Regions from separate parts of the Mus musculus genome. Here regions 1, 2, 3, 4, 5 and 6 are each reported to be linked to region 7. Evidence: microRNA targets listed by miRTarBase, many of them from high-throughput screens and not tested one by one. Region 7 holds a microRNA gene; each other region holds the end of a gene's coding sequence.
What was found. Region 7 holds the annotated microRNA mmu-miR-344d-3p (GAUAUAACCACUGCCAGACUGA, at 2,572-2,593, shown strand). A microRNA usually pairs through its seed, bases 2 to 8, with sites in the 3' UTR of a target mRNA and lowers its output. Matches are read on the target gene's strand: a 7mer-m8 pairs with bases 2 to 8, a 7mer-A1 pairs with bases 2 to 7 and ends in A, and an 8mer does both.

Region 1 (4,059 bases), not on the chromosome of region 7:
AATGTGTGCTAGTCAAATACCTTTGAAAAGTTATTAAAAACAAAACCCACTGATAGGAAAGCCTTGACTTGACAATGCTTGTTACAATCATCCAATGAATCACAATGCCAGAGGAATATGATGGGTTGTTTAATAATTCTATAAGCACATATAACCATTTCTATAATCTATAATCATTTTCTATAGTATTATTGATTATCCAAAATACATTGGAGTCCAGGTCAATTTCCTAGAATGAAGAAGCAAAATTCTTTTTATCCACTGTCAAATGCTTGCCATTTTCCTTCGATGGTTTCACAGGTTATCTGGTATAGGTAGGAAAGATTAGACTCTGAACTAGCTGATGAAACTCCTGCTATTTGACATGAGCAGTCTCCTCTTACCCCTGAAATAAATCATTACTCACTGTATCCAACACAGCAAAAACCTTTCCCTACCCTGTCTCATTCTTGTCTGCTTCCCCATGCCCTGTAAAAAGATGGACACCCTTTTCCAAGGACCTTAAACTAATTGAAAACTGGAGCTGTAAGAGACCCCGAAGGTCCTCTCTTTACCCCACTGCCCTGCCTGCCTCTGTCCTGAGAGTATATCCATCCAGGGCATGGTCTTACAGCTTCATGAAACTAATGTCTGTTATTCTCCCTGCTCTCTCCTTTGTCCCTACAGCGCCATGGCTACTTATTCTGCCACATGTGCCAACAATAGCCCTGCACAGGGTATCAACATGGCCAACAGCATTGCCAACCTGAGACTGAAGGCCAAGGAATATAGTTTACAGAGGAACCAGGTGCCAACAGTCAACTGAGGAAAAAAAAATAATTAAACAGGCCTAAGAAGAAATCAAAAACCATAAGACACCTATCCTGTTCTGTCATATCTTCATCCGCCGGGGAAAAAAAAATAAAAGCAAACAAACAAAGCCAGAACTAAAATATTGGGACCATGGCGGAGCAAAGCAGGAGAGGAACAAAATGAAAATTAGTTAACAAATGTTTCTTCTTGCTCTCGGATACCTACCATCACCATTTGCTTTTGTGTGTGTATTTTGTTTTCCTTCTATCCATGCTTAGCTAATTATACTCCAGGCTTCTTCTGTTAGGCTCAGCCCACCCATTCCTATAATTGTATGAGAATAAAAGAAATCTCCAGCAGCCAAAGAAATATATATATGAGAAAGATCACTTCTCGGTAACCTGCTTGACTTCAGTGCCTTACTCTGTCTCCTTCCAAGTCTCTCTAGGAGATTTTTGAAAATCCAAAGTCTTTCTGAAGAATCTGTATTATTGTGTCCATGTTGGTCATGGTAAGGTTTTTCTATCAGTGACAGGAAAAAAATAAATGTACGCATGTTCTGGTCACTGACCAGTCTGATCAATGTGGTTGGTCATGTCTGGTGTACTCTAAGCTCTAAGCTCTAGGTTATGATGTCACCGTTAACCCTACCCCTTACCCAACCCAAACAATAAAAGATCCTAAGTTAAAGATACTCATCGTTTTTAAACAATTGTTTCACTTGTTCTTTGGTAGAAGAAATCCTTTCAGTTTTAGAGATGGAAAAAAATTTTGTAGGAAGAAAAATACTGAGTTGTGAAAGGCATAGTCTATATTTCTTTGGTGCCTTAGAGGTGGTCAGATGCACACTTTTATATATACATATATATGCTGTATATATTTATATATATTATATATAAAATATTGAAAGCTTGAGTTTGCAGTTTCTCAAAAACTATAAAAGCAAACTCTCTGCCATCACCACTGCCCTTATTTACACAATAATTATATGTTAATGCGGCATCTTGTTTTCATAGTCTATATAAAATCCTCATTAAGGTCAGAGAGCAATTAGCCAGGCAGCTGTTTGAGAACAGCTTCCATTTTTATGTTAGGGCTTTAATAAAATTAGGAATTATTTGATGCTATAGAGTTGACCTTGAGTTTGGACTCTGATCTTGAGTGTAAAGTCTATATCATCTGACTTATCATGAGAAATACAGTTGGAAGGGTGAGGGAAGACAGCACTCTTTCTCTACTTCATAGGAATATGAAAGACAATATGTTGAAGTGAAGTGTTTAAAGCCTTGCTTAAATTTTAAAAATTAAATACAATCATACTCTTACATTTTAGTTGTTTTGAAATGAGGTTTAGCATCGAGGGTGGGAGGCAGAGCTGGTATTTCTTTGTTTCTCTTTGTTCCCAGCTTTGCTTTGGCAATTTTCCTGGTGAACTTGACCAAACCACGTTGCCATGCTGTGTCTAGTTTACCTGTTTATAAAATGGTTTAACAATTCCTACCTCACAGGGATGTTGTGAGGCTACATCCATTTGTTTTCTCTCTCTCTCTCTCTCTCTCTCTCTCTCTCTCTCTCTCTCCTCTTCCCTCCCTCCCTCCCTTTCCTTCCTTCCTTCCTTCCTTCCTTCCTTCCTTCCTTCCTTCCTTGTTCCTGGTTTGTCCAGCACTTTGTAGCCGTGAAAGGAGAAGGGACATTAAGAGCATACAATATTCATGGATTAACACGGTATTTGAAAGCTTTGTTTTCTAGTAAGGAAATGGTATCTGACTGTACATAAATATAACCTTCTATTTGGAAATGATAAATAGGTTTATATTTTCAAATATCTCAACAATAACATCATTTGACCAAAGAATAATTTAAGGCACAAAGTATAGAGATATTTTTTAACTTATATTTTCATCAACAGCTCGATTTTATTAACCATAGTTCTCAGTGAATGAAAATCTTCAGAGTGATTTTGGCCAAATATGTCAACATTGCAATATGCGTGTCAGTCAAAGTATTTGGCGTATAAGATTCACTTTTAGCACATACTTGTTCTTCCCTTGGCATATCTGGCTGTGTTAATGGTGATTTTTTTTCCCCAGTCTAACAGGCACCCATCTGAAAATATATTTCAAGTGATTTTGTACTTTGTTCAGTAATAAGAAGGAAGATCATCTTGTGTACTTTGATCTCATGAAGTGATTCCTTCTCAACAACTACTATTAAAGCATTTCTTTCAGAATAGTTTATGTGGTCTGGCTTAATATACATTACTTGTTTTTATCTCCACTCATGTATTTGTCCCATCGATTGCTGCGTGTTATCACATTTCAAAAAAACCAGTACATCCTTATTGTAAAAATGTTTTTTGATTTGTAAGTGAGTACAGGTCCAAGAGACTGGTAAACCGGGAATTTAGCGTTTGTAGAGAATAGCTTAAATATTTGGATTATAGGCAAGGAAGAGAAATTATAAATGAAAAGTGTTTTCTAAGGAGAGCAGAATCTTGGAAGGCAGTTGTTGGAAGTCATCTGAAACCTTCATCCTGGCATCCATTTCCAGTGGACGTCAAACAAACCTGATCCCATAAACTCAAAGGAGGAAGTGGGATGTTGTGTCTGATGCTTCGTACAAGCAGCTTCGCGGAATTTCACAGAATAACCCCTGCTAGTTAATCATAGGAATGTCTGCAGCTGGTAGACCCACAGCACAGCAGCTTTATCTGAGCACGTACCAGGAAATACACCTGAAGCACTGACGCTCAATTTTGTTCATTTGTGGTAAACTTTGTGAAAGAATATAAGTTTAACAAGTGGTTTGGAGGGTTAGATATCTAGCTTGTAAGTCAATTACCAGAGGAGAGTCTCAGTGTCAGACTCAAGGCATATAGCTACTGCGCTCCATCAATATACCCAGATGAAGGCATTAGAACTATCAATGTCCACACTCCCTTACCAAAGAAGAGGCCAATTAGTTCAGCACGTGGGAGGTTAAATTAAACCAGAAGTAATGACCTAATTACAAAAAAGGGAATGGCATATGGTAATAAAGATCTCATAAGAAATGTAATATGTAAATTATATCTTGCTTTATGATGTAAAATATACATTGTTTGTGCTAGAATAGAAATGATTTCTTTTCAATAAAATGAAAGAGTGATAATACAATGTCTTTTGTTATAATACACTGGACTCAGATGATTATTTTCGCTTTCAACTTCCCAAAAGGCAGAACTGCTTAGATTCAAGAAGACACTGAGAAACATGACAGTAAGAATGA
Region 2 (4,069 bases), not on the chromosome of region 7:
GAAACCCTTATGGAAATTGGCAGACCAACCCAAGAGATCCCTGAAGATCCATACCAGGAGTTCTCTGTGAAGGTTGGCGTGCTGGCTCAGAAGGCCCCTGCCATCAGTGAGCTATCTCAAGACATCCCTGAGGCTGACAAACCATCCCAAGAGCTCTCTGAGGAGACTGAGCTGCAGGCTCAGGAGGTCTCTGAGGAGATTGATCAGGAGTCTGAGGTGGTTGATGAGCTGCCTCCTGAGGCTATCTCCTAAGTTCAATGTCTACCCAGTGATGTAAACACTGAAAACCAGTCTCTGGCCATGACCAGCACTCACCCCTCCACTAGCACCATGTGACTTGTAGTCTTGTCGTTGGTTTCCCACTCTGCCAGCTCTTTGAGCCAGCAGCCTTTCTGTTGGCTAACACACAGAAAGAGCCCCACGCAAGGTGTGGGCTCACAGCAGCAGTATCTGAGAAAGCAGGCCTTGTGGCATGGAACTTACTTCTGCCAGCGCTTATACTTACGGAGGAGCTGTTGATGTTCAGAGACATTGTTGGCTCTTCACTTAGCCATGGAGTGGGAATCATAGATTGTTTGGAGGAAATGCCACTTAACTGCTGAAGATACCGTGCTGAGGGAACAGCAGATATAACATGGAAGGTGGCAGGGTCTCTTCTTGTTGACTGAAATATTCACAGCTTTTTAGGGTATCCTCAGTCCATATGTGCATTCAAGGAAACTCTTAACTTCACTAGCACAGGCTAGCACAGGGGAACCACCTAAAATGTCTGGAAAATAGAGTTCCAATCTCAAAAACATCTGTTGTGGCTACTCATGGTTTATACTGAGCTCATGGGTGTTTCCATGTAATTGCCAAGTGCTCCCCTGCCTAGTCCTGCTTCTGTGGACATCAGCTCAAGAGAAAAATAGATATTAGATTGCCATGCAACTTCAGAGTGACTACTTAGACTGCTCTGGGAGATTTGCATCAATCTATGAAGCCAGGCCTCCTTTTGTTGTGGGGCTGTTGGGCTTAGAAGATGCTGTAATAGAGAGAATCAAGTTCTATTTTAAACAATTAGCAGAGATCAATGTTGTACAGATATGAGCAAAGATTTAATATATATATATATATATATATATATAAACATATATATTTCTGTAGTTTGCCAGGGACAGACTGGCCAAAGATCAAACACTCCAGGGTCCCCAAGAGGTTTGTCCTTATATCATGTGTCTTTATGACCATATGTGATTACAAAGCTTTTCCCAAAGATCTAGGGATGGGAGTGGGTGTGGGTAATGTTGTCATTGGAGTCTGGGGCCGGAACATGACAAGTGCTCAATAAACACAAAATAATGAGAACGAGGGGGTGTGACTCCTTTGTGACCTTTGTGAACTCAAGAATGAATATGTAATCCCATTGTGTCCATGACTGAACCAATCACATACTGGAGATGAGCGGGGATTGGCTTTAAAGAGTCCCTGTAGTGGTCAGTCTACCATCCCAAGTGTTTTTACTGAGCAGAATGCTGGGTAGTTTCTGAGCAGCAGCCTCTGATGCCTTCCTCTCTGGTGCCTTGGGGTGTGAGTCGGGAGCTGACAGGAAGAGGCACTGCCTGGCCTCTGCTCTGTTGACATATGTACATCAGGAAAGCTCCAGACACTGGGATGACTACAAGGTTCCCTTCTCATATACACATTTATAACCTGACCACTCATGACATGCCTAAGACTACAAAGGGTTTTACTATGGGGACTTAATGTAGCTTTCATCCATTGGGCAGTAAATGAAAAGATTTATTAAGAGTTTTCTGGGAAAATACAGGGACTACTTTTGACCCCATAGAATGCAGATTGCACTCTCTAAACCAGATGTTTATGTTCCTGCTACAGGCTCCCACATTTTAGACTATTTTTATATTTTTTTTGTTTGTTTCTTGCTTAAATTTTTACTTTATGTGTATGGGCGTTTTGCCTGAATATAAGTCTATATACTGCATGTATGCCTGGTGCCCACAGGGACCAGAAAAGGGTGTTGAAGCCACAGGAAGTGGAGATATAGAGTTGTAAACTGCTATGTGAGTTCTGGAAGAGCAGCCAGTGTTCTTAACCACTAAGCTATCTCCAGCCCTTGTTTTTTTTTTTTTTTTTTTTTTTTTTTTGAGACAAGGACTCACTCACTGTGTAGCTCAGGCTGGCCCAAAACTTTCTATAGCCCAGGCTGCCCTCAAACTCCTAATTCTTCCACCTCTACCCTGAGTGTTAAGATCACAGGCATGCACCATCACACCCTGCTTCTTTTCAGAAATGATGATGGTTCTCTCATCTCATCCTCCTTTCACACAGGCTGGCTCTCCCGAGTCCTGGGATGGGTTTGAATAATGGAGAGTCTTCCAAGATAAATGATAACTGAACCAGAGGGATGGAAACCAGGATAGCTTACTGTCTGGAGGAGCCTTGGAAAGCCTAGGCAGCACCACACCATCTGCAATGAACTTGGTTTATTGTTAGAGGTGGAGGTGGCTCTGTTACAGCAGCTGGGAACTGTAGCAAGGAAGTGTGGGGAGGAGCGGAGCACAGCGGCAGGGAGGGGAGCTAGGAAGAACAGGAAGTGAGCTCCTTTTGGTTTCCCATTGGCTTGGCAAAGAAGGCAAGCCCCAGGGACTGTCAGCGGCTGGGTCTCTCAGTCCAGCAGGGTCTGGCCGGGCTGCTCACTGGCTTGCTTGGGGCGAGGTCCTGTCCTGTAGTAGAATGCTCAGCCTCTCCTCACTCTGGAGGAGTTAAGCTATAGCTCACCTTCCTCTCTTCTTTCCCCTCCTCCCTCCCTCCCATCTCCCCTCCCCCAGTTCTCTAGTCCAGCCTCCACCTCCCAGAAACTCTATCCAAGAGTTTAGGTTTAGAGAGGCAGCCAGTGTTCCCATTTCAGCTGCAGGATGGTAGAGGATTGGAATGTTAGGGAGTCACACATGGCTAAAGTGGATGTGGGTGTCAGGCAGTGGCTTATTGTTTAACCCATTACACACCAGGCCATAGCAGATGACCACATGCAGAGAAGCCAAGCAGGGGATGAGAAGAAATGAGGCTTATTGGAATGGGGTAGGTGAAGACTAAGTGATTGGGGAGCTTGGAGCAACTGGGGTTGGGGCTCTCCTTGCCCTTTGTGCTGCCCAGGTAGCCTGGTCTGGGTACAGCCCGGGGCTGTAAATGCTATGAAGAAGGGGCTGAGAGATGAGCTCCTTTTTCCTCTCCCTAGTTCTTGGTCTAAAGAGCTTCAAGTTTTGGATTGAGACATTCAGATATTGTGGGACGCAGTAAGACAATAGAGCAGCCACATGTCCCCAGGTAGCTGCTGGAACCCAGACTCTAGTGGCTAGGGCATGGCAGATGGAGGAAAGGGCGCAGCTCTGGCACCTTACTAACAGTGGCCTTCCCTGCATCATCTAAATTATCAGCAATCCTTTCTGGAATGCCAAATAAATAAATAATGAGGTTCTGGGGGAGAGACTGTTGTTAATCTTCCTCCACCGGGAGGAGTGTGCTGTTTGAAACCCATCCTCACCAAGACCAGCATTTGGCAATGCTAGGAGAGGGGGTTGCTCTAGGGGTTTCAGGCTTCAGATGACCTTTCAGAATCGTGTATCTCCTCATTGCCTTTGGTCTTGAAACCCCAGGAAGAGATGAGGGGAAGGACAGGACCTCCCACTTAGCCCCAAGTCCCAATAACATGACATGGCCCCTGCCCGGCTCGCCTTCCCTCAACCCCAGAGGACTCAGCAGTAGCCATTCTCTAAATGAACTGTAGGAGTGGATCCTTAGGGAAGGGAGCGCAGGTCATTCAGAACTCAATCTTGCAGGCTGGAAAGGACTCGTCCTGCATCACCACAGTGCTGCTGCTAGCCAGGACCAGGACGTTCAGTTGCTGCTGTTGCTCGTGTGTCTGCTGATACCACTCACGAGTCACCTCCGTATCATGAGTGGGAATCAGAGTCACCTAAGAGGAAGAAAACATGCCTGAGGTGAGAATCTGGAGGAAAGACAGATGAGGGGGAAGGAGAACTGATGGTCTCAAACAATCCCCCTCCCC
Region 3 (4,059 bases), not on the chromosome of region 7:
TTCTGCAGAGGTCAAGAGGCGCCGGAAGAGGGCTCTGGAGAAGCTTGACGGATCCCATCAGGAACTGGAAACCTTGAAGCAGCAAGCGGGGCAGGAACAGGAGAAGCTGCAGAGGTGAGGTTTGAATCCTGGGTTGAAGCCTCAGGCAGTGTACCCAAGACTCCTGTCACTTCCCACAAACTCTGTCCCTCTAGGAACCAGAGCTACCTCCAGCTGCTGTGTTCGCTGCAGAATAAGCTGGTCATCTCTGAGGGCAAGGCTGAGGACAAAGATGTGAAAGGGCGAGCCCTTACAGCCAAATCCAAATCTCCTTAAAGGTAAGCCCTGTCAGTTGAGTAACCACCCTCCCCTCGTCCCCAAGCAGAGAAGAACAGGGCAACTGTGGGGAGAGATCAGTGTCCACTTGACAAGATTGAAAGAGGAGCTGGGAACTTGATCTTACTCCCTGCGGGCGGACACCCTCCATTGATAGCTCTCTGGGTGATAGCTGTATGCACAAGATCCTGCAGCGGACAGAAGCCAACTCAGAATGTGATGTGCTTGAGCTGCCAAGACGGAAATCCTCGCCCTCTGAACTCTAGATCCGAGGAACTGAAAAAGTGGAAAGAACAGGATGGTTAAGATTTTCAGACCCCAGATTAGGTACAAACCATACTCAAGCACGTGTTGTCACAGAGATTCTTTATTAAGCAGGGAAGAAAAGTTAGTGTCTGCTTTCTGACACAGGCAGGAAAACAGCAGCAAATGACCTCACAGGTATAGTTTTTAAGAAGAGAAAAGTGAGGGGTTGGTTTGGGTTAAAATGGGTTAGGATGTGGGGGTGGGGGTGGGGGTTGTATATTTTGATTGGGTATCTTAATTAGATAAGCCAAAGGGAGCCTTTGATTGCTGGACTTGAATACTTTGATGGCTGGATCTTGTGCACCAGCCTCAGGAGGAGGAAGTGGCCAAATAAGGGAATAGACCTCCAGTGGCTAGCTTTAATGTTTTTTAATGTAGTTTAATGTTTTTTGTTTTTTTGTTTTTGTTTTTTTTTTTGTTTTTTTTTTTTTAGCAAGGCAGAGGGAAGGGAGCGGAGAGGGCAAAGCCTGCCAGAACCATGTATTTTTAGAGAATGTCATTTGTAATAATTGCTATTTTTGATTAGACAGGGAAAATAGTTGTAGCCTCAATGTAGTCTTTGTTAAACATTTCTTATTTTAGAATTGTGTGACATTTATTTTCCTTTGGATTGTGATTGTTCCTTTTTTCTACTTATGTCTTTAATGTACTTGTTTTGTTGAGGTCTGAGAGAAGTGGGTTCAAGTTTTCAGCTGTGGCCCTTAATGTACTCATGGTTCTGTTGGCCACTTTATGTCCACAGAAATGCCTTTGACTAGAAATACAGCATTTTAATATTAATATAACCTCTGCAGTTCCCTTGCTTACCTTTGCCTTGATTTCAACCTTGAGTTTTAGTCTTACTTAGTCCTTATGTCTGTCAGTTGTATGCATGTTTAGGGCCACTGTTTACAGATTGGGTTCAGTAATACTTTAAGGAATCTTTAAGATTTCATAGTTCTCAGTTCTGTAATGAAAAGGATTTGATGTTTGTGCCATTTTACTGTAATTTCTATGTTTTGGTATTCTTAGTGCCTTCGCTTTAATGTGTTGTTTGGTTGGTATTTCTTTCATCCTTTTCATTCCTAAGAAGGTCTTCTCTGTAAGTTCAGCTATTATTAGCCTAAAGTTATATGTGAAGGACATTGAGCCTTTTCTTAAGCACAGAATGAACCCTGGAACGCATTACCATCGATACAGCACCCTACCTTTAGCTAATACAGTTGTTCATTCTACTACTTCTATCCTTTATATTCTCACGTATTAAAATTGTAGCCATTCAATGCTATATTCATATCTGCATGTGGATTTTGAATTTCCCCTCTCTTGATTTTACATTGCATTGCTTTCCTATACAGTAACTTCATCATAAGGAAATGTTTCATAATTTCCTTTAGAAATTAGTCTTTATTACTTTTCTATTGGTGTAAAGAGACTCCATGATCAAAGCAACTTATAAAACAAAAAAGCATGTAACATAAGGCTTGGTAAGGTTTCAGAGGGTGAGTTCATGCACATTGTGTACGCCAGGGAGAACGAGAGCAAGCAGGCAGGCAGGCATGGCACTGGAGCAATAATGAGGGCTTACATCTAGCCCACATTGCAGCGGGCAGAGAGAGGAGAGACTGGGGCAACTAGCCTGGGCTTTGAAACCTCATACCCTACCCACAGTGTCACACCTCCAGAGGGCCACACCTAATCCTTCCAAAACAGTGCCACCAACTAGAGACCAAACATTCAAACATGTGAGCCATTGGGGCCCATTCCCATTCAAATCGCCAGAGCACAAAAGACTTTATAGTATGAAAAGACTTTTGTTTCATCCTCAAGGTGCGTTTCTGACTCTCATTGTTTCCTCTGAGGAATCAGCGATACACTTCACAGCTCTTTCTGTGGTATACTTTTCTGTTTTCTAGCTTTATGAAAGTAAAATAGAAAAACAGGATATATATAGTATTAAGGTATACAACATGTTTTGATGCTTGAATATGCTATGAAATGATTAAATTAAGCATAATAATGTGTTTCTTCACATACTTTCCTGCACTGAGACTATGAAAGATGCACTCAGCAGGTTTTAGAGTACAGTAAACCAACTTGTCCTGGTGCCTGCGCTATACAGTAGACTGCCAGATCTTACCCATAGGTTCCTACTCTCCCTGGCTGCTCACAATCCCTTTTTCCATTCTATCGTTTTATTATGTTGTAAATAGTTGAGAATATGCTTTTATCAACAATTCTAGAATATTCTCAGCCTTGTCTCTTTAACGTCCACACTGTTGGGTTATTCTAAAGGAGCAGTCCGATCAGTTACCTTTTTAAATATTTTTTTTTAATTTTTAAAAGTTGTATTCCTTCTACATGGAATTTTAGTTTTCTTTTTTCTTTTTTAATATTTATTTATTTATTTTATGTACATACTGTAGCTGACACACCAGAAGAAGGCATCAGATCCCATTACAGATGGCTGTGAGCCACCATGTGGTTGCTGGGAATTGAACTCAGGACTTCCAGAAGAGCAGTCAGTGCTCTTAACCTCTGAGCCGTCTCTCCAGCCCAAATTTTAGTTTTCCTAACTGTCGTAATTTTATGTTGCTATCCATGATTCAGTCATCTGCTTCTTGACTTTGGAATTTTAATTTCCATTTTAAGATATTATATTGGAGCCTAGTATAGAGTGCATTTACTTGTTTTTCTGTCTTAAGAGTGATGCTCACAGCAGTTTTGTCTTCTTTGTTGGCTAGGTTACTAGTTTGCAACTTCAGCTCATTGACACACTGCCTTTTTGCATGGTCTCATTTGTTTATGTTTGAGTAACCCTACCTTTGTTTTTGGCAGTATGTTTTGCTTCATACACAGCTGAAAGGACTGTGCTAGTGGCTCATGGTATCTTGTGTAAACCAGTGTGTAACTTGTAAAACATTTAAAGTATGCATTTTTGACATTCCTTACATCTGTATGCATCCTAGTTGGTATTTTTGTTGTTGGATGGTTTTTTCTCTTCTCATTAGTATTTCCCAGAAGGCTTTTGCTTTGTTTGTCTTTCCAAGCTCTAGCTTTAGGCTGCGGGTACAGCTGATGCTGTAAGGCTCTACATCTAATTCACAGCTCCATAAAGTAATAAGAGAAATGACAGAATACCTCAGAGTTTGGCCTTTTTCACTGCTCTTTTTTTTTTTTAACCCAATCATTATTTGTTATTTTCTTTCCTTTGGCATATATTTTTAATATTTGAAATTTTAGGCAATATTTTGTAGGTAAAAAATATATGCCTTTTCGTTACTGTATAGGGTCATATGTTTTATCAAGAGATTGTTATTTTATAAATTTTTTCTTCCAAACTTAGGTACCCAAAAGTACACTAAATTATCAATCATAGCATTAGAAATCCCTACTATCTTTGAAAATGGGAATTCTTGTTTCACTGTTAGTCCTCTACCATTTCTGAGATGAATGCAT
Region 4 (4,069 bases), not on the chromosome of region 7:
CAGAGAGTAATTACAGGAACAATGGCTTTATTGTTTTCTTTCTTTTTTATTATTTTTATAGTGTTCATTTCCAGGAAGTGCTGCCCTCCCACTTTGAGAAGAATTAGGCAGTGCTCAATGATTCAGAACCACAGGCAGCTCCGATCCCAAACACGACTCCATATGTCAAACATGTCAGACCAAGGACCGTATAATGAGTATGAACCCACCCATGAAGGACCTTTCATCATCATTAATGGTTATGGACAGTGCAAGTGTCAGCAGCTGCCATACAAAGAATGTGAAGTATAATATCTACCCATCATCAAAAATCACATCAGATAAGTAACCTATTTTACATAGTAGGGGCTAAATACATATCTAATTTTTACCAATGGTGACATTAAGCCTAATTTTCCAAACCAAGTGGAGACTTGAGTTTTTGAAGTGTTAAAGTATTTTTAATTTTTTAATGAAAACATATTTTAAGTGTTAAGTGAAGCAATGCTCACATTAATTTGCACTCTTGTTGGAAAGTCTAAATGCTTACTTCAATATAAAACATTTCATGTATGTAATTATATACAACTGTATGTAAACATTTGCGCTAAGGTCTCCATATGTTTTTTGGTTTTTTTTTTTACTGAAAACAGTTCCAAAAGATGCTACTAAACAAATATAGGTAGGGACAAAAACCTGTTTGATTATTATTCTCCATCCTATGGACCACAACTGGCTTCCTACTTAAGAAGGAGACAGCAAAGTTCTCTTGTAAGATAATGTGGTATTTACTCAAATTATAATTTACTGCCAGTATAAGAAGTAGACTTACATGTGTGCTTAAGACTGGTAAATATTAAACGTTATTCTTTCAGTTTGGCTTGGCTTAATAAACATTATCTAAGTTACATCATGAAACCAGCACCTTTTATATAACTCTAATAAAACTGGGTGACTCTTTAATATATTTCAACAATAAATCCAAGCAATTATAAAAAGATCTCATTATAATAAATCAATACTAAATAACTATGCTGACTTCTTATACAACTCTAGTTTGACTTATAATGGACATGCTGATTTTTGTGGCATTTAGCCTATTATTTTAAACTAGTATTAAATTCCATTTTACTAATTAACTTACTAAATCCTCTATTATGTAAAAATTTGCATTTGGGAAAGAGAAAAACTGAGTCAACTTAACAATCCTGATATACTCCATCCAGTTTGAAAATACATCCCCTCTCATGATTAAAGATGCCTTGACAAACTGTTTAAGCCTCTTCCTTCTGCCTTTTTCTGATCTTTAAACTTCAAAGATCCAAATTAAAAATAATTGGCTACTAAAGGTGCCTAACCCTGATTCTTGTTATATTATAAAAAACACAAAAAAATTACTTTCAAAATATGATGGTAAAGCTTGCCCTTTAATAAAGATACGCATTTATATGAGTAGCTCCTTCTGAGACAGGACCAATTTCCGAGGCAAACCTTAAGGCAGAACTCCTGGCATTGCCCTGCCGTCACACAGCAGCAAGTGAAGGCAGAGTGAGTGTGAGGGGTTAAGCCCAGGGAAAGACTTTGAGTGTGGCTCTCAGGTTAGTGGAAGTAACTAGGCAGCAAACGTGATCATGTACAATTTGCACCAAATAAGTGATGCTCAGGGATCTGTATGGTGTGGAAGGAGACTCTACAGTGTAAATACGAACACTCTAATCACAGTAACAATTGATAATGATGCCACATTTTTCATGAAGAACCACAAGTGTTCAATTCTGACTTCTTTAAGGCAAATGATGGCATACTGGGGAATTAGACTCAAGTTACCAATTCACATAGAATTTTTTTTCTACAAAGATGGCTCCACATATAGGAGAAAACAGAAAATCATTACTTTGATTTCAGAAAGGAAAAGAAAAGAAGCATTTTTATGTGGAAAAATATGTAAGTCCATAACGAAAGTCACTACTCTAACACAGTATCCTGCATTCAAGACTTATTCTCTCCCCATGATTGGACTGAAAACGTTACTATAGACCTAGATTCAATCATAATTGTTTTCCTTTAGCACTGAAAAATATACCCACATTTCAAATCTCTTAACAAAAAGAAGATAATAGTCAGGCTTCAGTGAAATATGCTCTTTGTATTTCTTATGCTGGGTGATCAGTCTAGCAAAGCCTCAGAGCATCCCGGTTCGGCTGATCTTGAGTGGCAAGCATTCCCTCTCCTGATACAGCAGAAGCTCGGTTCGTCTGAGCTGAGACAGATGCTGGCTTTCCAGCACAGAGCACAGCACACTGCTTCCCCACCGAGGAGCTGCATCAGAAGCCCTATTACAAATGAGCTCCGTGGTCTAGGATTTAACAACTCATTTATCATGGTGACCACTGCCGTTTGCCAGGTGATGGACAGCTTGTTCACAATTCAGTTTTGAGCATGCAAGAAGACTCCATCGGCCCTAAACGATGAGTGGTTTTCATCATTTCAAATCACAAGCAAAATTAATTTAAACTGTGAATTAAAAAGTAAGAAATAGTAACTAGGAGCTCCAATTAATCCTAAAGAATTAGTAAAGTGGACTGTAAGTAGCAGAGCAAGCCACTTAGCATCCGAGGGAGAACAGTGCCAAGAGCCATCAAGGCAAACTACTAGGGAGGGGGGAGGGGCATATTTTTTCCTCCTACATTTTTGGTAATGGTAGTGCCAACCAGGTATTTTCCTTTCTCAGTTAAAGCACAGATTGCCATTTCTAACTGCCTACAGAAAACAAGGCTGCATTTAGTTGATATGTATTTGTATTGCAGTATCTGTGCTACCAACTGGCCAGAGTAGCAAAACCATATATGGTTCCTAGTCATAAAAGTGAGGGCTTTGGGTGGGGTTTTATCTCTTAAGCATTACCACTCAACTTTCCCTCTCCCCCATTTTAAAATCTAGTGAAAAATCAGAAAATAATTTCTCAGAAAAATGAAATGTAGCTAGGAATTTAAAATTAGTTTGCAACTACAGTTACTTATTTTTGTAGCCTACAGGGAATTCAAGCTTACCTTTCTAAAAAGAGTGGGCTGGTAAATCTTTAAATAAAAAAAAAAAAATCACACAAAACTCATATTACTGGCATCAAAAAACAAACACTATTTTTAAGCCAAAAAAAATTGTATTACCACATGTAATTTCTTAATGAGTCAAAGTTAATTTCTGTACTAATTCAATGAATGGAATTGACTAAACTTCCTAATTCCACACTAATTATTAAAACCCATCTGCTTATTATAATGCTAGTCACCAAAAGCTAAACTCCATCTTTCCAGTAAAAGCAAGCTCTATGTAGCACTAGTCTGAATTCTGAGATATCAAAGTTTTATTATTTTCTTAAGTCATACTTTCTACACATAGCTATGTAAGGGTGGAGCTAAAAATTTCCCCTCTCTCTATTATATATATATATATAAATAAATAGATAATTTTTAGGACTATTTTAACAGTTAAATTACATGATAATTTTCCTAATACAGCAATCCAGTAACAGCACTATCTCAAGTATGTTTTGGACATAATTTTCATATATTCTCAGTTAAAATGCTTGAATCAGAAAAGATGTTTTTAAAATGATAATATGGGCCATCTATAGATAAGCATTTCTTTGGCTATCCTGGGGCAAACTCATAGCGCCCGAATAAGGCCAAAACCAGAAAACGACCATTCACCCTTTCATTCTGCCATTGCAGACATTTGGAAACATCTCCAACTTCTTGAACTAATCTTTTCTTCCTTCAGTTTTAAAATCAGTATGATACATGGAATATTTGGTGAACCTGTGAACACTGAGACTGCAAACTCAAAGAACAGTCCAAACACATTTGTTCAATTACCTTTTAGAGCCATGGGGGGAGGGTTGTTGGGGGATAGGAAGAAAATACTATTATACAAGGAATTGGGTTGGTGGGACTATAGTACAGTGTACAGAAAAGTTTTGTTATTAAAATTGTGTATACTGTAAAAAAAACCCGAATGTCTCCTTTGTTTATAATTTTCTCCTGAAACCTGCAAGTGCTGACAGGAGAAACCCAAATAGGCATTTGTGACA
Region 5 (4,069 bases), not on the chromosome of region 7:
TCAGAATATACTTCCTGGTTTTAAAAAAAAATAGAAGGCTAAACGTGGATTCGAGATTTTCTATAGTAGTGCTTTTTTAATAAGTTTATCTCAAAGAAAAGAAGAAACATTGAACTAGGTTAAAAAAAAAAAAAAAAAAGGAACAGTTGCCCTAGGCCTCTGTACCCAAGAGGCAGGCAGGGATGCCCACAGTGTGCCATGTACTTTAGCAACAATTGTTCATTCACGGGTGACAAGGAGAGGGGACTGCCTGGAAAGAATACTGTGTCCTGTAGGGTTGCACTCTTCAGCAAATAGGTCAGAAAGACACTATGAGCTTGGCTGAGAGGATGTGTTATCTGCAAAGCAAGTAACAGACAAGGCTGGCCTTTCTTAGAACCTGCATCCTAGAATCCCACTGTGCTAACCAGCATGTGGTCATGAATGGACTAGTCAGATTTAATTCCCGGGCTTCTGAGCATCGTTCTCATGAACTCACTATTAAATGATCTGCTATGCATACACTTGACAGTTTATTTACTAGGGCAGGGCCTGGGGTGGGGCTGGGGGTGGGGTCAAGAGAGCTTCTTTACAGCCGACTGCGTATGTCACTAATTCCTAAAGATCTCCTTGGAGCAATGGATACACTCAATAGGACCAGGTGGGGGATGGGGAAAAGACAAAATAAAATTGGTCTCTATTCACCTGTAGTCCTCAGGGGAAATTAACTCAAATATATACTTGAAGTACCACCCGTTCAAATCAACCCCCACCATCATTATCAAACACACTTAATTCATCCACAGAAAAATTGGTTGCTTAAAATTCTATATTTCCCTCTGCTCCACTTTCCAGTTTACAAGGGCAGGTAAAATAAGAGGATTGATTTATTCTTGTTCCTTAAAAACTGAACTTTGATTTTACTCTATCAGTCCAAATACATCCAAGAAGAGCAACCCTCTCTCTAGTCAACCTTCTGGATGTCAAAGAAGAAGATCCTAGGTGCAACACCATTCATTTTGAAGTAGTAAGTCACAGGAGCAGCCTATCCTGTCATTAACAAAATGACAGAGGGCGGGGAGGGACTAGGGGAGCTCTCCCTCCAGATGGGGGAATGTGTTTGGTAGAAGAAAGCTTATTCCTGTGTTAAACTCAAAAGTGTGAAACAGCCAACATCTGCTATGTGGGCACTTCAAGAAATGTCTTTGCCAAATATGAGACAGGCTCACTTTCCACTGTGGTTTCAGGAACTTTCAGGAAAAAAAAAAAAAAAGAAACAAAAAACTATCAATAACAACTAAAATAAGACAGGGCAGTTCCTCTAAGTTGGCCTCTAGGAGGCTTTTGCTGTGCTTGCTTTTTCTTCCTGGTTTCTTAGCTTGGAAACCAGAAAGGAGTTCAGCTTGCACTCCAGGTGGGAAAGTACGGGGAGGGGTGGAGGGAGGGAAACCTGTTTAAGTTGAAGTTTGTCACAGTAGGCAGAACAGTTGCTTTGCAGCCCAGGCCCATCTCAGGGTGCAGTGCTTCACTGCTACACTGTAAAGGGTTAAAAATCCTCCCACCCACCCCTGAATATATATATATTTATATATGTATATTAAAAAAAATCCCCTGTCCATCTCTCAGTACACAAAAGGACCTCATCACACTGCAAAAATAGCAGTACCCACTTTGGTCAATTAAAACAAACAAACAAATAAACAAACAAACAAAAAAAGCATACATTATTTCTTTTTTAAATCTGTGTACTTACCTATAATAACCAATACAGCTAAAAGCACTACCTACATAGGCAAAACTTGGTATTGCATAATTCGTATAAATTTGAAACCCCTCCCCCCCAAATATTAATTGGAAGATGAAAAACATGAAAGGTTAATAGAAAAAACACCAAAAATACTGAAAATATTGCTGGTCGATTACAATTTTTAAGCGGCAACTATACACAGCCATGATATGCTTTATAAATGTGAGATAAAGGTGTAACTGTCTAAAAAATCCATGATGTCACACATTTTTCTTCGTCTGGAGTACAAAATATTTTGTCATAAAAATGGTAAAGATTTAAAACGATAATAAATGCAGCAAAACAAGTGTAGTGATGTCACTTTTGTGGTTTTTTTTTGTCTTTTGTTTTTTTTTTTTAGATTTCAAGGCAAGGCACGTAATGTGGACATTATATCTTCGTGCAAATTAGGATTACTGGAAAGAGTACTTTTAATTAAAATTTTAAGAGACACAGAGGCAGCATGTGTCTGCCCATGCACACTATAGATCTGTCAATACGAGAAATGTGTTGAACAAGGCTAATGTCCGAAAGCACCATGCATGTTCCCAGCACCCTGATGGCACTTCTCTGAAGAGCGAGCGGGTTTTCCTAGCCTACCTGGCATTCCCAGCCTGTACACGGGGAGCTTTACCCTTGTGACATGGATTTCCCTGCCTCTTTGTCTCTACGATGCAGATTGTATAGAACCGTTTGTACACCCTATGGGTTCTTGATGCAACCAGTAATTTTAAATAAATAATCTGACCTCTGAGGAGGCTGCAGCTAAGCCAACCTAAGTGCTGTGTTTTCAATATTTTTTTTATTTTTTATTTTTTTTCTGTTCAAGCACATGATTTGTCTTGATTTAATGCCTTATTTTAAATGCCCTCAAAAACTGAGGGGAAAATAAATTCGCTCAAAATTATTTTAAATTCTTTTTAATCCCCTCAATTTAGAGTCCAAGGGCTGAAGGACTTATAATCATGATTCCCCTTTAGATATAAATTTATAAATTGCACTTGCCTCTGTTAAGTGTTTCTTTTGTGGGGAAAACATTATATTACTTTTTACTGTTGCATGCAGAGGTAACCCTTTACCCACATAGAGGCATTTCTTCCATAGAGCCTTTGAGTTCAAACTGTTTTTTTTTTCCCTATTTTTCTTTTTTCTCTTTTTTTTTTTTTTTCCTTTTTAAGATTTCAAACTGGGTTACACACTGGAAAAGGCTGGGTTAAGGGCCAAAATTTAATAAATCTGTACGGATAACTAAAGGCTACAGAGATTCTTTTATATATATATATATATATATATATAATTTTAACTTTTAGAAATCAGAGTGCTTATAAAATGGCTGGCTCATGGCTCTGTCCCCAGCACCTCTGACGCCGCCTCCTAGCCTTCGTTGTTGAGATAACCAGGAATAGTGACTCCATGCGTAAACAACAAGAATACTAACCAAGAAAACTAGCTTATCATGCAAATATTAAGGCATCTAGAAAGTCAGTTAAAATATATTGTCATAGAGACAGAACATCTATTTCCCAGCGGACTTCATGTAACAAAGGCTACGGTGCAGGGGCTGCAGTCTAGCATCAGTGAGATGTCATTGACCCTTTCCTGTCACTATAGTCTCAACCTTAAGGGAATTAGTGACTGTAAGTGCTGCAATGCTGGTCTACCGTCTTCTTTCTTCAGTTTCTCTCCTTTCTCCCTGTTGTCCAGTCTTCCTCTTTTCCTTTGTTGGGTGTTTTTCCCCTAATTTTCTTATACTATGGTTGTGGTTCTTTCCCCTCAGTTGCTTGTCTCCGCTTGAAGGAAAGGCTCTCCAATTATGTTCAAACCATAATTTTGGACATTTGCCGGTAAGATGGGTGTCCTATTTGACACTTGAAAAGGAACCAAGCTAGCCCAGGTACCAGGACTGTTGAGAGGAGACGGGAAGAAAAAAAGAAAGAAAGAAAAAATAAGACAATGTTAAAATCTCCAGCCATATCATAAATATAAATTCAAAATGCATTAAATTACAACTATTATATTTTTAACTTTTTAAACCAAAATTTTAATAAAATTTAATAATTAATAGCATGCATTGACTTTGCTATATTATATATATTATGCTTATATACATATATATGTACATACATGTGATAACTTCTAGATTATACACATCATACAGGTGTAATCTATATGATCTCTTGCTTCCATGAAAAGACCTAACTACTATGCAGAAAAACACAAAATGAACTATATTCACTATATATAATTGCTGAACTCTAGTTAATTAAGGAGACTCTTTTTTAAATATCTGGCCCATTTCAATGC
Region 6 (4,069 bases), not on the chromosome of region 7:
CGTAAAATACTGCTTATGATAATAGAGGGTAGTGACAGACAAATGGGGCTTCTAACAGTTGGGTTACAAATTGTTCTTATGGCAGCTTTGGAGTCTCATTCCCTATGAGCCATTTAACCTTCTTACACACTCGTCTCTAAAAAACAGGTCATTTCCCAGCTTCCAAGGTGCCATAGAAATGTTTTCCGCTACTTGATGGCATTCCTTCGTGAACTCTTAAAATTCTCTGACTACAACAATATCAACACCAACATGATTGGTAAGGGGGCTTCATGAGAGAGTCTGTGCAGAGTGCTTGTTGGACAGAATCTGGATGCATTGTGCATAATGTGTACCATATTTGATTTTTGGGAACATGGCAGTCCCTTCCCTCCTGCTGTTCTTGTTCCCTGCACCCCGAGCCTTGAGGTTTTGCTTAGGTAATGTCTGACAGTGGGCTTCCCCTTTTCTTTCTTCCACCCTCTAGCTACCCTGTTCAGTAGCCTTCTCCTAAGACCTCCACCAAACCTCATGACAAGACAGACTCCAAATGACCGCCAGCATGCCATCCAGTTCCTCTTGGTCTTCCTGCTTGGGAACGAGGAAGACTAAGTCTTTTCCTATCCGAGATTCTAGAGGAGGAAGACCTTGGGCTCCGACTACTTCAAAATGATCTGAAAAGTTATCACACAAAAAGGGTCTACTGTAGGATCTTACATTCTGTTAGTAGTACAAAGGGAAGAGTTTTCCTAATCCTTCCTTACCATATCCTACACAGCAAAATCCTTTTAGACATATATTGCCAAGCCAAAGTTACCATATTTCGGTGTTTTTGTGTTTACTCTTTGTAAAGCAAAGAGGTCTGTATTTACACACCTTTACCTAGGGGTATGTTTTCTGCCCTGCTTCCCAGTCCTCATGATTATCTTTAATACCCTAGGCCTGGATTGAGAGGCCTTCCTGTTCTAAGCCTACAAGTACTACTTGCTATAGCTCAGACTTGTCTACAGTTCTTTGTATGATGCACTTTGGACCCACCCTCTCCTCATGTCACTACTTTGCACACTTCCTCCATGCTCTCACTTTGAAGGAAGCCTGGATGAGGCTAGTGACTCTGTGGGTGTCCTGAACAGTGAAGTTCACTGTCTCCATGTGATTGTTACAAGCGTTTGTGCAGTTCTACTACAATGATATCTGTATGTCACTGTAATGTTGGCCTTCGTGGGGAACCACACTTGGTGGAGCCCGATTCCCTTGTCTCAGACCATGGTTAGTTACATAATTTTATGGACTATAGAGATGGCGTCCCACTGATGTGAGAAACATCACAACAGCGAGGAAAGCACTGTGAGTATATCAGAATGAAAACATCCCTGCTTCCCAGTCCCCGTGCCCGGCTACTATCCACACTTGACATGCGGAGCAATCCTGCATGTTGGTCCCCATCTCCCCCACTAGAAACCCACTTCCAGAGTCATGTTTGCATCACAGTCAAAAGAGAAGTCTGTGCACCTCAAGTGAGGTCCCAGGAGCTTTCCTCGCCCTCCAAACCAAGCATTGAGGGTAACCCTCAGAACCCATTCTCCTATCTCCTAAAGTGTCGGGGAAAGTTACTGGCCTCTCTCAACAGGGCTCACTCTGAGCTCCACATCCGCCTCCTTCAAGCAAAGACTTAAAAAGACTGCCCTTGACTCCTTGACACTATATCAAGTGCTGTGTAAGAGAGACTGGTCCGTGGGACCAGCCACACACATTACCTCTTCCACTTGAAATGACTCTAAGGTTTTCATTTTATTCAAGCTTTGTGGGACAGACAAACTTTTTAAAAATTACTTTGTTGACTGACAAACCAGCTGCCAGCTTCTGGCTGCAAAACTGCCTGGTGAAATTGACTTGCTTGGTTTCATTCACCAAACCAACCCAAGTCGTGTCATTCTTGCCTATTAACATCTGATGTAAGGCGCTCATATAGGCTGTGTGTACAATCTTGGGCACTGATTCCATCAGTAGTATCTTGTACCATCCAAGGAGAGGGCCAGGAAAACATCCACCATCAAATGGTTTTCCAGCTCCCTCATCTCTTCAAAATTGAGTTCTTGGGAGAACAAAAGGTATGTATCCTGCAGTAGTTAAGCCCTTAAATAATTGGGAGTTGGGAAATCGGAATCAAAGTATTGGTGCCAGCTCACTGAAGATCTGATTGGGTCAACAGTTGATTAGTGGAAGACGGAGAGCAGAAGAATTTTGTCATATCTATTAGGCCAGAAAGTAATCACTGAAGAAGCAGATGGTAGGAGCTGGAGCAAGGTGGTCCACAGGGGAATGCCTCTCCTGTGCCCATTTTATAATACCTCGCCAAGCTTGGGTCTTTAGATGAGCAAGATTATGGTTAGTGGGGGCTCTGTGGAGCATGCACGTAGTGCCCTTCCTTCATCAGGCCAAAGCACCAAGTTGCTTCACTGCCTCGGCCTTTTGTCCAGCTCAGCCTGGGATGTCTATAGGGTTGAGGGTTTTAGACAATCTCTAGGAAAGGGATACAAAACAGATCCGATGGAAGAAACCTACTTCCCTATCCTGCCTATCCTGCCCCTCAACCTCTTCATTCCTAATTCCTCCAAGGTACTATTTCATAGTTGCTCTGAATTAAGGATTTCAGGTTTAACTGGTAGTGAAAGACTGCACCTAGCATCTTCGGGAAGAAATGATTCCAGTCTATTGGCTGATACTACATTAGTTTCCCTTTCTGATTCTTAATCTGTAGTTCTTTGTTATATTTCACAAAAAAAAAAAATGTCTCGGTCACTACGCAAAGCTGCTAGTGGGGTTCTGTATTTTGTGTCATCTTTTTTATTATAATTTATTGCAATTTTATGAATAAATATATGTTGTGTGAAAACTCATTGTGATCTGACTGAGAACTGAAGAGGGGAGATTTAATATCACTTGGACTCACTTGACATTTTTGTAGGCCCCACCCAACCATACCTGTACCTGTCACTACTGAGCCTACAGAGAAATACCATTTAAAATTGTTGTGCTGGGGCTGTAGCTCCATTCTAGAGCGCTTACTTAGCATGCACAAAGCCTTGGATTTGATTCTCAGCACCAGGACCAAAAAAAAAAGAGTGTTTTCCTGGGCTGGTAAGATGATTCCATGGGCTAGTGTCCTGAGTTCAATTCCCAGAAGCCACATGGTAGGAGGGAACCGACTCCAGAAAGTTGTCATCTAATCTACACATGTGTTGTGACATGGCCACATAAATAAAATGGGGACTAGAGTGATGGCTCAGCAGTTAGGAGCACATATTGATTAGTTTTGGTTCTCAGCACCCACATCTGGCAGATCACAACTGCTATAACTCTATGTCCAGGGGAGCCAAGAGCCCACACACATATGGTGCATGTATAAGAAGCCATGTATTTTATGAGACTAATAAAGAAGTTGTGTACTTTCAAGCCAGCAAAATCATTTCAGGCAACAGTGAGTTCATCAAAAGAAAGTCTTGCTTTTGGGGGTGGGTGGGTGGAATGGGATTTGTAATGGAATCTTACTTTGTTGCTGAGGCTGGTTTTGAACTCAATCAATGATCCTGGCCCAGCCTCCCTTGTAGCTAGGGCTATAGCCACACACCATCTTGCCTGGTTGAATACTGGTTCTTTTTTTTTAATTTTTTATTAGATATTTTCTTAATTTACTTCAAATGTTATGCCCTTTCCTCAATTCCCCTCCAAAACTCCCTATCCCATCCTCCCTCCCCCTGTTCACCAACCCACCCACTCCCTCCTCCCTGCCCTCAAATTCCCCTACACTGGGGCATTGAGCCGTCACAGGACCAAGAGCCTCTTCTCCCATTGATGCCAGATAAGACTGTCCTCTGCTACATATTATGCAGCTGAAGCCATGAGTCCCACCATGTGTTTTCTTTGGTTGGTGGTTTAGTCACTGGGAGCTCTGGGGGTACTGGTTGATTCCTATTGTTGTTCCTCCTATGGGGCTGCAAACCCCTTCAGCTCCTTGGGTCCTTTCTCTAGCTCCTCCATTGGGGACCCTGTGCTCAGTCCAAAGGTTGGCTGCAAGCATCTGCATCTG
Region 7 (4,069 bases):
TCTGGAGTAGAGTATGGTAATAATATTGCCTTTAGTGTTCCAAAAACTCTTTGATGTTACACGATTAAAATTATTGTAATAGGAAAGGCTTCACTCAGAACATACAACAGAAGTAATTTTGAGGGATATGCAGGCACATCACAATTAGTCAGCATGCAGCAAAAATTGCAAGATAATTTTCAGAGTCAGAAAGGCTCAAAATGAAAGAGAGTAAATCAGGCAAACTTGTAGGATCTAGGTAGAAGGAGCTAGAACTATGAACACTCCAAGTTTCCACTGAATAATTTTTCTGTGGGTTAATATAGTGAGAAGATTGTAAAAACAGCTTTTCCTGCCACCCACTTTCTATTTTTCTGCTTTCATAAGGAAACACATGAAGGAGGGTGCCAAGAGATGAATCAGCATCACCTAATGGATCTTTAAAGTTACTGCAGGATTTGATGTCCATGCCTAGATCTGAGATCTCTCTGCTGATTGAATCTGATTCCACTCTCTATTTGAATCCACATTCTCAATCAATCAGAAGTGTGGAAAACAACAGAAAGGTTGTCTGCAGGTGAACACTTGACAGATAACCTGCTGGCTATATACTTCAGGCCTCATCTGGTCCTAGATATAGCCAAAACCACACTGAATCATGTTAAAGAGATGGGTACTTGGGCCAATGTCAGCAACAGAGAGAGCAGAAAGGTGCTAAGACTGTGCTTGATTATTTCAGAGAGTTCCTGCTCTGATTCTTTAGATCCTTGTTTTGTATAGAATTTCAGGCCTCTGATTTTGAGTGTCACTTCTTTGTCTTGTCATGCCTTCTGCAAAGAAGATAAAAGATTCAAGCTTCAGCTTGTGACACAGGACTATGGATTTTCTGATATTTTTATATCCTTAGATCAACCACTGTGAGAACTGCAATGACAACAAACGTCCTCAACATCCTACCTTGTAGTCTAAGAAAAATCAGAGGTAACTAACAGACACAGATCCTACCATACCCAGAGTTCAAGCAGCCTTGGGACAGTGACGACAGTAGCATGCTACCATTAATGACCAATGACACTCAACAATAAAACCATTGTTTATTCTGTTATTATTCTTGTAGTTTACTAGATTACCTAGCCAGCTTTTCTTCCAGGTCAGTCTTTTGCTACTTAATGACTCAGTAGAGTCATGAGCTCTTCAGGGAAATCAATATATCATGTTCTGATCATAGCCAACTTAGTATTTTATCATGTAAAGAAAGAAATGGACACAGGAATTTTCATTGTGACCTTTTACTGAAGGATACTGTGAGTCTTAAGATTTAATGCTATTTTCTTTCTGTCTTTAGAGATCAGGTCTCTGTTATATATCCTGGATATTTCTGATACTGTATTGCTTAGATTAATGTATTCCTGACAGTAGAAATCACATTAGAGCTTTATATGTGTCAGAAAATTCCCTGACCTCTTTAAAACCACACATTAAGGAATTGAAACCCCATAGGAAGAACAACAATATCAACCAACCAAACTGCTCCAGAGCTCCCAGGTACTAAACCACCCACCAAAGAGTATACATGTAGGGACCCATGGCTCATATGTAGCAAAGGATGGTCTTGTCAGGCATCAATAGGGGAAGAATACCTTGGCCCTGAAAAGACTCAATGCCTCAGTATATGGGAATGTAAATGCAGGGAGGTGGATTTTTGATGGGTGGGTGGGAGAACACCCTCATAGAAACAGAGGGGTGGAGTATTGGAGAAGGGGTTACTGTGTGAAAAAAGGGGAATGGAGGATAACCAATAAGTTAAGAAAATAGCCTATGAAAATAAAAAAAAATAGAATAGAAAATCCACACATTAAAAGTTCCACATATACCATATTTGAGTGTCAATAACCACAGCATATTAACACAGTTTTGAAAATTGAGTTGAATGAAATATTTTTCAGATTTATGTGACACTGCAGCATTTCATACAAACTGAGTACAGGTGGAGTAGGGCATGGGCAGAATACTAAATTTAGTATTAAAATAACTCTTTGTGGAAGCATGAAAATATAATATAAACATTAAATTATCAAGGAACAGCCATGCACTGAGCATACAACAGATAATTTGGATAAGGAAACAAAGGCACATCACAATGGGTGAGCAGGCAGCAAAAAATTGTAAGATAGACAGTCAGGTGAAAAGGAAACTGAGAATCTCTGGCAAATAACTTAAAGCTAGGAAGAAGGAGCCAGAAATAGGAAGATTTCCAAAGTCACAGTGACTTTTTTTTATGTTTGTCAGTGTAGAATGAATATGTTTAAAACATTTTTTACCCTCTGCTTTTAATAGCCCTGCTTCCTTCCAGGAAGCCAGAGAGGAGCCAGTGAGGTATGAATCAGCACTGACGGAGAGCTCCAAGTATTCAGCAGGACTTGATGTCCATGTCTACATATGGGATTTCTCTCCTGATTGGATCTGATTCAATTCTCTATTTGAATACACATTCTCAATCAATCAGAAGCAAGGAGAGCAAATAAATTTGTCTGCCAGGGAAGATTTCATTAGTCTGGTTGCTGGCTATATTCCAGGACTTATCTGGTCCTGGATATAACCACTGCCAGACTGAATGGTGCTAAAGAGAAGGGAGAGTGCTTGTGTCACTGTCAGCAGACAGCGCCAGTGAAATCATCAAAGCCTGTGCTTGTTTATTTCAGAGCCTCAATGCACTGATTGCTTTGGTCGTTTTGTATTGTAGCTGTCGCTCTATGGGAGATTCGGAGAATCTCTATGGGAGATTTGGAGAATGACACACTTTTCTCAGTCATGCTGGAATATGTCTTCTGCAAAGAAGATACAAGATTCAATCTCAGCTTGTGACAGAGACTAAGAAAAATTTTCACATTTTCACAAACTTAGGTTAGACACTGTGAGAAGTGCTGTGGAAGCAAATGCCTGCTACATACCACCATGGAGTCTCTGAAAAATCTTGATGTAACTAATAGACACAGATACTACCTTACTCAGGAACTAAGCATCCTTAGGGCAGTGATTCTGGCAGCAGGTTTTTATTTATGGTATGAATATTCAACAATTGAAACATTGTTTATAGTGTTATTTTATATTTAATATACTAGAATCTTGAGCATGTATGTTCTTCCAAGCCACTTCATTACTAACTATATGTTCAAGAGAGTCATGGGTCCTTTAGGGAAATCAATATATCATCCATCTCCTGAAGATCTCCACCTTGGTATTATATACACTATAGAAATGAAATGAGCACAGAAATTTTCATGGGGAACTTGTACTAGTGACTCCTTTGAGACCTATATTTTTTTTCTGTTATTTCGAATCTGTCTTAAGAGTCCAGGTCACTGTTGTATATCCTTGACATTTCTGAAATGTATTACTTTTTTTTTCAGATAATCTTTACAGTAGTAAACGAATTACAATTGTATGTACATCAAAATAATCTCTGTCCTCTTCATGAGCACACTTTAATTTTTACTTCACTTTACATATGGTTTTGATTATCTACAGTCCATGAACAATGTTTTCAACTCTAGATTACACTTAATACTCTCTCTCTATATATATATAAGAGACAGTTGCCGGGTGGGGGAAAAAAGAGACAGTTGTTTATTTTGTTATTTTGTTATTGCTCTTGTCCTTTACTAGATTTTCTTGGCTGATATTCTTCCACATCAGTTCTTTGCTATATAACAGCTCTTTAGAATCCGGAACCCTTTACAGAAATCAATAGATCATGTCCAGATCATCTCCAGCTGGTTAAAACGCAATATAAAGGAAGAAATGGATACAGTAATTTTCATTGTGATCTTGTACTCGTAGATATCTTGAGTCCTAAGATTTCTAATTATTTTCATTCTGATTTTAGAGAGCAGGCCTCTGTTATATATTCTGGATATTCATGAACCAGTATTATTTTGAATAATATATTCCTGACAGTAGAAATCACATTAATCTCTATATGCATCAGAAAATGGCATGTCTTCTTTCAAACTACACATTATATTTTCCTACACACAATGTTTTGTTTTACATAATCACAGCATATAAATATTGTTTTCAACACTGAATT

Region 1: the mRNA of Prrx1 is a reported target of mmu-miR-344d-3p. Seed matches in the 3' UTR shown: 7mer-A1 at 1,644-1,650, 7mer-A1 at 1,673-1,679 and 7mer-A1 at 1,682-1,688.
Region 2: the mRNA of Map1a is a reported target of mmu-miR-344d-3p. Seed matches in the 3' UTR shown: 7mer-A1 at 1,122-1,128.
Region 3: the mRNA of Zwint is a reported target of mmu-miR-344d-3p. The part of its 3' UTR that is shown has no 7-base or 8-base seed match.
Region 4: miRTarBase lists Lrrtm2 as a target of mmu-miR-344d-3p. Seed matches in the 3' UTR shown: 7mer-A1 at 558-564, 7mer-A1 at 908-914, 7mer-m8 at 1,348-1,354 and 7mer-A1 at 3,417-3,423.
Region 5: the mRNA of Nfib is a reported target of mmu-miR-344d-3p. Seed matches in the 3' UTR shown: 7mer-A1 at 3,056-3,062.
Region 6: the mRNA of Ocrl is a reported target of mmu-miR-344d-3p. Seed matches in the 3' UTR shown: 7mer-m8 at 2,747-2,753.

Annotation. Positions count from the first base shown.
Region 1 is chr1:163,245,004-163,249,062 of GRCm38, reverse strand. It overlaps Prrx1 (paired related homeobox 1), which reads left to right. Exons shown (of 4, transcript NM_011127.2): 4 at 667-3,944. The coding sequence ends at 805. Among named protein-coding and RNA genes, the nearest start is that of Gm20471, 33 kb to the left of the region's middle.
Region 2 is chr2:121,307,839-121,311,907 of GRCm38, reverse strand. It overlaps Map1a (microtubule-associated protein 1 A), which reads right to left. Exons shown (of 7, transcript NM_032393.2): 7 at 1,076-3,976. The coding sequence ends at 3,821. It overlaps Ppip5k1 (diphosphoinositol pentakisphosphate kinase 1), which reads left to right. Exons shown (of 30, transcript NM_178795.4): 30 at 1-1,347. The coding sequence ends at 252. Among named protein-coding and RNA genes, the nearest start is that of Map1a, 20 kb to the right of the region's middle.
Region 3 is chr10:72,657,072-72,661,130 of GRCm38, forward strand. It overlaps Zwint (ZW10 interactor), which reads left to right. Exons shown (of 8, transcript NM_001293683.1): 6 at 1-114; 7 at 195-317. The coding sequence ends at 315. Among named protein-coding and RNA genes, the nearest start is that of Zwint, 4.3 kb to the left of the region's middle.
Region 4 is chr18:35,208,922-35,212,990 of GRCm38, reverse strand. It overlaps Lrrtm2 (leucine rich repeat transmembrane neuronal 2), which reads left to right. Exons shown (of 2, transcript NM_178005.4): 2 at 1-3,988. The coding sequence ends at 291. The region is part of intron 7 of Ctnna1 (catenin (cadherin associated protein), alpha 1); the gene reads right to left. Among named protein-coding and RNA genes, the nearest start is that of Lrrtm2, 4.1 kb to the left of the region's middle.
Region 5 is chr4:82,293,144-82,297,212 of GRCm38, forward strand. Nfib (nuclear factor I/B) reads right to left here. Exons shown (of 12, transcript NM_001113209.2): 12 at 1-3,668. The coding sequence ends at 3,539. Among named protein-coding and RNA genes, the nearest start is that of Nfib, 210 kb to the right of the region's middle.
Region 6 is chrX:47,962,994-47,967,062 of GRCm38, forward strand. Ocrl (OCRL, inositol polyphosphate-5-phosphatase) reads left to right here. Exons shown (of 24, transcript NM_177215.3): 23 at 148-259; 24 at 467-2,875. The coding sequence ends at 591. Among named protein-coding and RNA genes, the nearest start is that of Ocrl, 53 kb to the left of the region's middle.
Region 7 is chr7:61,683,803-61,687,871 of GRCm38, reverse strand. Mir344d-2 (microRNA 344d-2) reads left to right here and starts at 2,521; the gene lies at 2,521-2,600.